2 linked regions of the Callithrix jacchus genome follow. The protein of the gene in region 1 purifies or fractionates together with the protein of each later gene. This does not show direct contact. Links are inferred from orthologs where the notes say so. Each region holds a gene or a part of one and is shown on either strand. Other genes may lie near its edges. The genes, in order: NOP2 and SRPK2.

Region 1 (3,815 bases):
GGCACTGTTTTTATAAAGCAGTTAACTCAGAACTTTGAAAAATGTGTTCCGGCCGGGCGTGGTGGTTCAAGCCTGTAATCCCAGCACTTTGGGAGGCCAAGGTGGGTGGATCACGAGGTCAACAGATCGAGACCATCCTGGTCAACATGGTGAAACCCCGTCTCTACTAAAAATACAAAAAATTAGCTGGGCATGGTGGCACGTGCCTGTAATCCCAGCTACTCAGGAGGCTGAGGCAGGAGAATTGCCTGAACCCAGGAGGCGGAGGTTGCGGTGAGCCGAGATCGCGCCATTGCACTCCAGCCTGGGTAACAAGAGTGAAACTCCGTCTCAAAAAAAAAGAAAAGAAAAGAAAAATGTGTTCCTTTTGGCTGGGTATGGTGGCTCACATCTATAATCCCGCACTTTGGGAGGTTAAAGCAGGAGGATTTCTTGAGACCAGGAGTTGGAGACTAGCTTGGACAACATAGAGTGAACCTGTATCTACAAAAAATTTTAAAAATTGGCCGAGTGCAGTGGCTCACACCTGTAATCCTAGCACTTTCGGAAGCTGGGTGGATCACCTGAGCTCAGGAGTTCGAGACCAGCCTGGGCAACAAAATGAGACTCAAAAAAAAAATAGCTGGTGTGGTGGCATACGCCTGTAGTCCCAGCTACTCAGGAGGCTGAGGCGGGAAGATGACTGGAGCTTGGGAGGTTAAGGATGCAGTGACCTACGATCTTTACTGCACTCCAGCCTGGATGACAGAGTGATACTGTCTCAGAAAAAAACAAAACAAAACTGAATCCTTTTGACATAGTAATTCCCTGTTAAGGAAGATGACCCAAAATGTAGGCAAAGAGTTATTTACTGAGGTGTGCAGGAAATTATTATAAAATTAGTGTGCGAATGTATTATTAGAATTGTATAGAATAAAAAAAGTTTCCATGTGCACCCTTTCCTGCAACGCCTTATATCTACAGAGTCACTATGAGGTTTGCAGGCACCATGTTGATCATGATGGCAGAAACTCTGGAAACTTCCAAAATATACAATCTGCTTAAGTATATTCATGCATATGATGTAGTTAACACTGGTCATTATGTCTGTGAAAATGCTTGTGATCTAACTGAAGTATCAAAAGCAAGAAACAAACTTGAAAATGCATTATGTGAAAAATATAGAGTAAGTCTGGAAAAAATATGGCAAAATGGTGGCCAAGGGCAATTTTTTGTCTTTTTTTTTTTTTTTTTTTTTGCAACCTCTGTTTCCCGAGTTCAAACGATTCTCCTGTCTCGGCCTTCTGAGTAGCTGGGACTACAGGTGTGTACCACTACGTCCGGCTAATTTTTTGTATTTTTAGTAGAGACAGGGTTTCATCGTGTTAGCAGGATGGTCTTGATCTCCTGACCTCATGATCCGCCTGCCTTGCCTCAGCCTCCCAAATGATGGGATGACAGTTGTGAGCCACCATGCCTGTCCTTGTCCCTTTTTATACATACAGGTATTTGTATTTCAAGTTTTTTTTTCTGAATGGAAAAGTGAAAAACATAGGAGTAGAAAAAAAAAGTGTAATTACCGATTTAATTCATTACTTAGTTTTTGTTTTTTTTTTTGAGATGGAGTCTTGCTCGGTCGCTCAGGCTAGAGTGCAGTGGCTCAATCCCAGCTCACTGCAACCTCCACCTGCTGGGTTCAAGCAATTCTCCTGCCTCAGCCTCCCAAGTAGCTGGGATTATAGATGTGTGCCACCACGCCTGGCTAATTCATTACTTAGTTTCAACAGTGGTCAGTATTGTACCAATCTTATGTTCATTTCTTTGCTTCTCTATTTCCTTCTGAGAGCAAGTGTCAACATTTTTATTTAGCAGAAAAAATAAGATACAGAGATAGAAAGTGCTTCATGGGCTGATGGAAAGGCAGGCCTGTGTTAACAACCCTTGTCTCTTCAGTTGCTGCCCATTGAAAAAGCTGCTCGGAAGCAGAAGGCCCGGGAAGCTGCTGCTGGGTGAGTTTTGGAAGCAATTGGGATGGAGCATAGGCAGCAGCTGGGGTGGGGGAAGCCGTGAGGAAGGAGGAGGTGTTTGTTTTGGTTTGTGAATCACTCTGTTCCTGGACCTATTTCTAGAGTCCAGTGGAGTGAAGAGGAGACAGAGGATGAAGAGGAAGAAGTGACCTCTGAGTCAGGCCCCCCAAAGGAGGAGGAGGCAGATGGGGGCCTGCAGATCAATGTGGATGAGGAGCCGTTTGTGCTGCCCCCTGCTGGGGAGATGGAGCAGGATATCCTTGCAGGGCAGAGTGAGCAGTAGGAGGAAGGTGCTTAGTAGAGCTATTTCCAGGCCCTAGGACATCATGACACAGTTCCTTAACAGGCCCACATGCCCAGGCTCCAGACCTGCAACGAGTTCACAAGCGGATCCAGGATATCGTGGGAATCCTGCGTGATTTTGGGGCTCAGCGGGAAGAAGGGCGGTCTCGTTCTGAATACCTGAATCGGCTCAAGAAGGACCTGGCCACTTACTATTCCTATGGAGACTTCCTGCTTGGCAAGCTCATGGACCTCTTCCCTCTGTCTGAGGTACTAGATTGCCAGAATGCCCCCTTTGCTTTTCTTTCTCACCACCTTACCTGTGTAAGGAAGATGTTCAAGCCTCCTTGTCTCCCTCTGACTGAGCTCCTTATCCAGCCTCACTTATTCCCTGCTGTCTTTCCCGAAGCTGGTGGAGTTCTTAGAAGCTAATGAGGTGCCTCGGCCCGTCACCCTCCGGACCAATACCTTGAAAACCCGACGCCGAGACCTTGCCCAGGTAAGGGGTGGCTTTTGAGGTTTGCTCACCTCAGAAGGGGACTGACTTCTGCCAACTCCAGAGGTTCCCCTATGCCACCCTGACTGGGTGGGGCCTTAGGACCTAAGCAAGATCCTGGGAGGCAAACCCAGAGGCCTGGTGTCTCTGACAGGCTAGGGGCCTAGGACCTCTGGGAAATGGGAAGTTCATCCCTCCATCCGGCTTTTGCTTCCTGTGACTGGGATGAGTGTGCTGCCTCCCAAGGAAGTTGGAAGATCATTGAGGAGCTGGGGAAACATAATTCCTCACTGCAAAAAAAAGACATATACACATATGCACACTCAGTATTTTGAACTCATTTCCAAGGGTTCAGGGGCCCGAGATTAAAGACCCCCTGTTCTGAAGTCAACTGTTTGGTTATATGTGTTGTATATCTTGGTGTGAAGAAAACCTAATAATGTTATATGCTGTAACCAATATTAAATTTTTTGGATGGGGGAGGGGCTCAGCCTCTTAGAAAATCAGATGCCACTTCCAGGAAATAAAGTAATAGGAGGTGGCATCCTGCTCCGTTGGAATGAAGTTCAGACCTTGAGTTAGGAGCCTGAGGTTAAGAAAAAAGGGCACCATAGGATGGGGTGAGAGAGAGAAACTGCTTGATGAGTCCATGATAACTGTGTTCTCAGTAAGCACTCTAGGAGTTGTGGGGCCATGGGCCGTGTTCTTATGAACCATGTTTTTAATGTCTTTATCTGTTTTCTGGGTAGAGTAGCCTATGAGGTTATTAAAATCTTCATCCTGGTCTGGCGCGGTGGCTCACGCCTGTTATCCCAGCACTTTGGGAGGCCAAGGCAGGCGGATCACCTGAGGTCAGGAGTTCGAGACCAGCCTGGCCAACAAGGTGAAACCCTATCTCTATGAAAAATACAAAAATTAGCCTGACGTGGTGGTGCATACTTTTAGTTCCAGCTACTTGGTAGTCTGAGGCACGAGGAAGAATCGCTTGAATCCAGGAGGTAGAGGTTGCTGTGAGCTGAGATTGTGCCACT
Region 2 (3,815 bases), on another chromosome or scaffold:
CTACTCACTGCAACCTCCACCTCCTGGGTTCAAACGATTCTTGTGCCTCAGACTCTTGAGTAGCTGGGATTACAGGTGCACACCACCACACCTGGCTAATTTTTGTATTTATTAAAGATTGGGTTTCACCATGTTGGCCAGGCTGGTCTTGAACTTCTGACCTCAGGTGATCCACTTGCCTCGGCCTCCCAAAGTGCTACCATTATAGGAATGAGCCACCACACCTGGCCGGTAACATTTCTTTAACTTGTTAGGGTGCTAGGGTGCTACTTTTATAATAAGAATAAATGGTGAAAGTGTGTTTTTGAAATATGCTTTTCTCTCTTATTCTTATTTATCATTCTAAGTGATGGAGGTGGCTCTGTTTCTTGGGTATCATCTGCAGGGCTGGAGCTGGCTCATGGACTCAAGACTTGACCTCACTCATCCAGTGAGCCCACTCCTCTTGTGTCTGCTAGCCAGTAGTACAGAGTAAGGGGCTTGGGCTTTGTGTTCAAGTAACCTTACCAACTCTTGCCAGGGTAAGGTTACTTCTGATACTGAGTTTAAGGGTTTCTACATATAATCATTATAGCCTCTAGATGAATTGATTTTCTTTGCATTATGGAGTTTTTCCACATACTTACACACTCGACATACTTGATTTTTTTAGAGGCAGTTCAGTGTTCTGTTAAATTGCTATGTGTTGAGGACCGCAGGTGTTTAGGACTCTCCTGACGCTGTTTATAGACTGCTGCTTTGCACCTACAGTCTTTACTTGGTCAAAAGTGGTTAGATATTTTATGCTGCTCTTTGCAAATGTTTCTACCAGGTTATAGTATGCCTAGTTATGGATGAGTAGTTTCTCATGAACTTCCAGGATTGTTTTCCTCACTGGTACTACACAGCTGTGAAGCAGCTGTAGTGGTCAAGTGTATCTTTTCATGGAAGACTGTACTTAATCTGATGCCTTGTTGATGGGTCTTAGTTTAAAACCTGGCCCCGCAGAAATAGGTTCCTTTACTATTTTCTGCAGATAGTGCTTCTCTGTAGTTGCATTGATTTGCAAACTAGAGAGTGTTTATTCTGAGATAGAATAGCTGTATGTCATAAAAGTTCTCTCCCCTTCGCAGAGAACTTGCTTTCGTCATGTGTGAGCTTTCTTAGTTTGCTGTAACTGTTGCTGTGGTGAGATCTACAAAATGTAGAAATTGAAACAACTAACAAAAGCTGGTGTTTTGATTCACTTGATTTTCATCTTAATGAGCATTTTAATAATAAATCTTGTGATGATCTGTAGGACATAGTTTGTTCTTTTACTGCCCAATGTTGTACTATGCTTTTCTCCCATATTGTTAAGTAATATTAAATATTATTAATCAAGTGAATGTACCTTGTGTTTTGTTTGACCACTGTTTTCCTCTTATTGGCTCTTTGTAATTTTGCAAGTATATATAATTTTGTGCTGACATATATTAGGCATGAATTTGGGGTGGTGCAGCCAGGGTTTATCTTCTTAGGCTTAATTCTTAGAGCCAGAATTTCAGACGTGGAGGGATAAATCTGCAGTCACTGACGGCTCAGACTTTGTTTTTATGGAGGCTGTGTTTCCTTCAACAGGAGATCCCTTCCTGCCCCTAAGATTGCAGGCTCATTTCTTCATCCATGCAGATCTGATCTCTAGTTCGGCTGCGATACTTAACTGTGTCTCCAGTCCTCATATTGGAGCCAGAAGCAAGAAGCTAACTCCTTTAGCAAGAAGCCCTCTTAAAAGATTCTTCATACAGAATCCTGTGCACAGCATGTTTGCAACTCTGTAGACATACTAATGTGTAAGAATATGCTTCATGGCCGGGCGCGGTGGCTCACGCCTGTAATCCCAGCACTTTGGGAGGCCGAGGCAGGTGGATCATGAAGTCAGGAGTTCAAGTCCAGCTTGGCCAACCTGGTGAAACACCCCATCTCTACTAAAAATACAAAAATTAGCTGGCCTGTAATCCCAGCTACTAGGGAGGCTTAGGCAAGAGAATTGCTTGAACTGGGACCCGGGAGGCCAAGGTTGCAGTGAGCCCAGATCGTACCACCATACTCCAGCCTGGGCTACAGAGTGAGACTCCATCTCAAAAAAAAAAAGGAACATGCTTCAAAATAGACACAACAGAAGATCTGTGTGGGGTAGGATTGTAGGCCACTTCCCCTTTTGTTCTTAGAATTTTCGGTAATATTCTTTTCTTTTTATTATGATTTTTTAAAGGGGAGGGCATTTCTAAATTGACTTGAATAAATGAGTGAAACAGAACAAGCTCCTGAGAACACCTTTGTGAGCAGAGCACTGATTATCTATTATCATTATCACTGATGCAGCTCATGAAAAAAAAAATTTACCTTGCTATATAGCAGGTGAAAGGGGAGAGAGAAATCAGCCTTTGCATGAAGTGTGCCGCGGGTGCTTGAATGCCTCTCCCTCCCCACCTAGATCTGGGTGTTCTAGGGTACAGGCAGAGGGCAGTGTTTCCTCTGCAGAAGCTGCTCAGGGTGCACTGAAGGGCACCTAAGGAGGCCTGTTGGCAGGGGCATGGTGTCCATAAATCCCAACAGGCAGAGAAAATGAGTTATTCACAGTGAAATTTTCTGGACCTTTTGACAGTTTGCTGCCTTTTTGAAAAGGTTTGTGGGGGACAGGGTTTCCCTCTCATAGGCTGAACAACAATGGCATGACCTTGACTCACTGTAGCCTTGACCTCCTAGACTTAGGCAATGTTCCTGCCTCAGTTTCCTAAGGAGCTGGGATGTGCCACCATGCCCAGCTACCGTTTTTTTTTTTTAAGTAGAGACAGGGTCTGTGTTACCCAGGCTGGTCTGAAACTCATTGACTCAAGGGATCCTCCTGCCTCAGCCTCCCAAAGGGCTAGGATTCCACTGCTCCCAGCCCTTTTTTGCAGTTTGACTTAAAAATAACCTTTTTTTTCTCTTATACAATGACTATTACAGCTCATAGGCCATTTACTAGCTTGTTAGTCATTCTTTTATGTCACCAAAGCTGCATGTAACCCACACTTTTCCTATTGCAGCAGTATAACTTCAAGGTTTACAAATTAATGTCCTAGGATCTTAGATCTTAGAGCAAATGCGGAGACATGAGTGATGTTCGATTTGGGTTTGCCTCAAGTTTGCAAATTTTATGAAAGATCCCAGGTTGAAATAAGAGGGGCTTGCTTCAGCCTTTGGAAAAGAAAACATTCTGGGCATACTCAGCCCACTCCACTTACTTAAAGAAACTTAGAACTGATATGAATGAACTCTTAACCTCTATTTACATCCACCAAGCTGCCTTGAAATGTGCCTTGGTCGTATGTACATGTTGTGATTATTGCTTACTGGGGAAAAGCTGGCGTTCTTTGTTGTTGCCGTCTAAGAGTGGAGCAGATGGTCGTCCGCTTCATGGAAAAGAACCTGACTGGACCAACTATGGGAAATGCAAATTTGGAGCTTTCTTGACATTGGTCTGATTTTTCCCCTGTAGGAGAACTGCGACACATCACCAAGCTGAAGCCCTGGAGTCTCTTTGATGTACTTGTGGAAAAGTATGGCTGGCCCCATGAAGATGCTGCACAGTTTACAGATTTCCTGATCCCGATGTTAGAAATGGTTCCAGAAAAACGAGCCTCAGCTGGTGAATGCCTTCGGCATCCTTGGTTGAATTCTTAGCAAATTCTACCAGTATTGCATTCTGAGCTAGCAAATGTTCCCAGTACATTGGACCTAAACGGTGACTCTCATTCTTTAACAGGATTACAAGTGAGCTGGCTTCATCCTCAGACCTTTATTTTGCTTTG

The links.
Region 2: the proteins of NOP2 (region 1) and SRPK2 purify together in Homo sapiens (affinity purification with mass spectrometry; 3 studies listed by BioGRID and IntAct, with this or other methods). This does not show direct contact. The link is inferred for Callithrix jacchus from reciprocal best matches to the Homo sapiens genes NOP2 and SRPK2.

Annotation. Positions count from the first base shown.
Region 1 is NC_133510.1:20,752,634-20,756,448, reverse strand, and holds part of NOP2 (28S rRNA (cytosine(4447)-C(5))-methyltransferase), read left to right. Parts: intron 1-1,932; coding exon 1,933-1,988; intron 1,989-2,108; coding exon 2,109-2,262; intron 2,263-2,360; coding exon 2,361-2,558; intron 2,559-2,697; coding exon 2,698-2,787; intron 2,788-3,815. UniProt on the Homo sapiens protein: S-adenosyl-L-methionine-dependent methyltransferase that specifically methylates the C(5) position of cytosine 4447 in 28S rRNA. Required for efficient rRNA processing and 60S ribosomal subunit biogenesis.
Region 2 is NC_133512.1:75,497,444-75,501,258, reverse strand, and holds part of SRPK2 (SRSF protein kinase 2), read left to right. Parts: intron 1-3,502; coding exon 3,503-3,687; 3' UTR 3,688-3,815. UniProt on the Homo sapiens protein: Serine/arginine-rich protein-specific kinase which specifically phosphorylates its substrates at serine residues located in regions rich in arginine/serine dipeptides, known as RS domains and is involved in the phosphorylation of SR splicing factors and the regulation of splicing.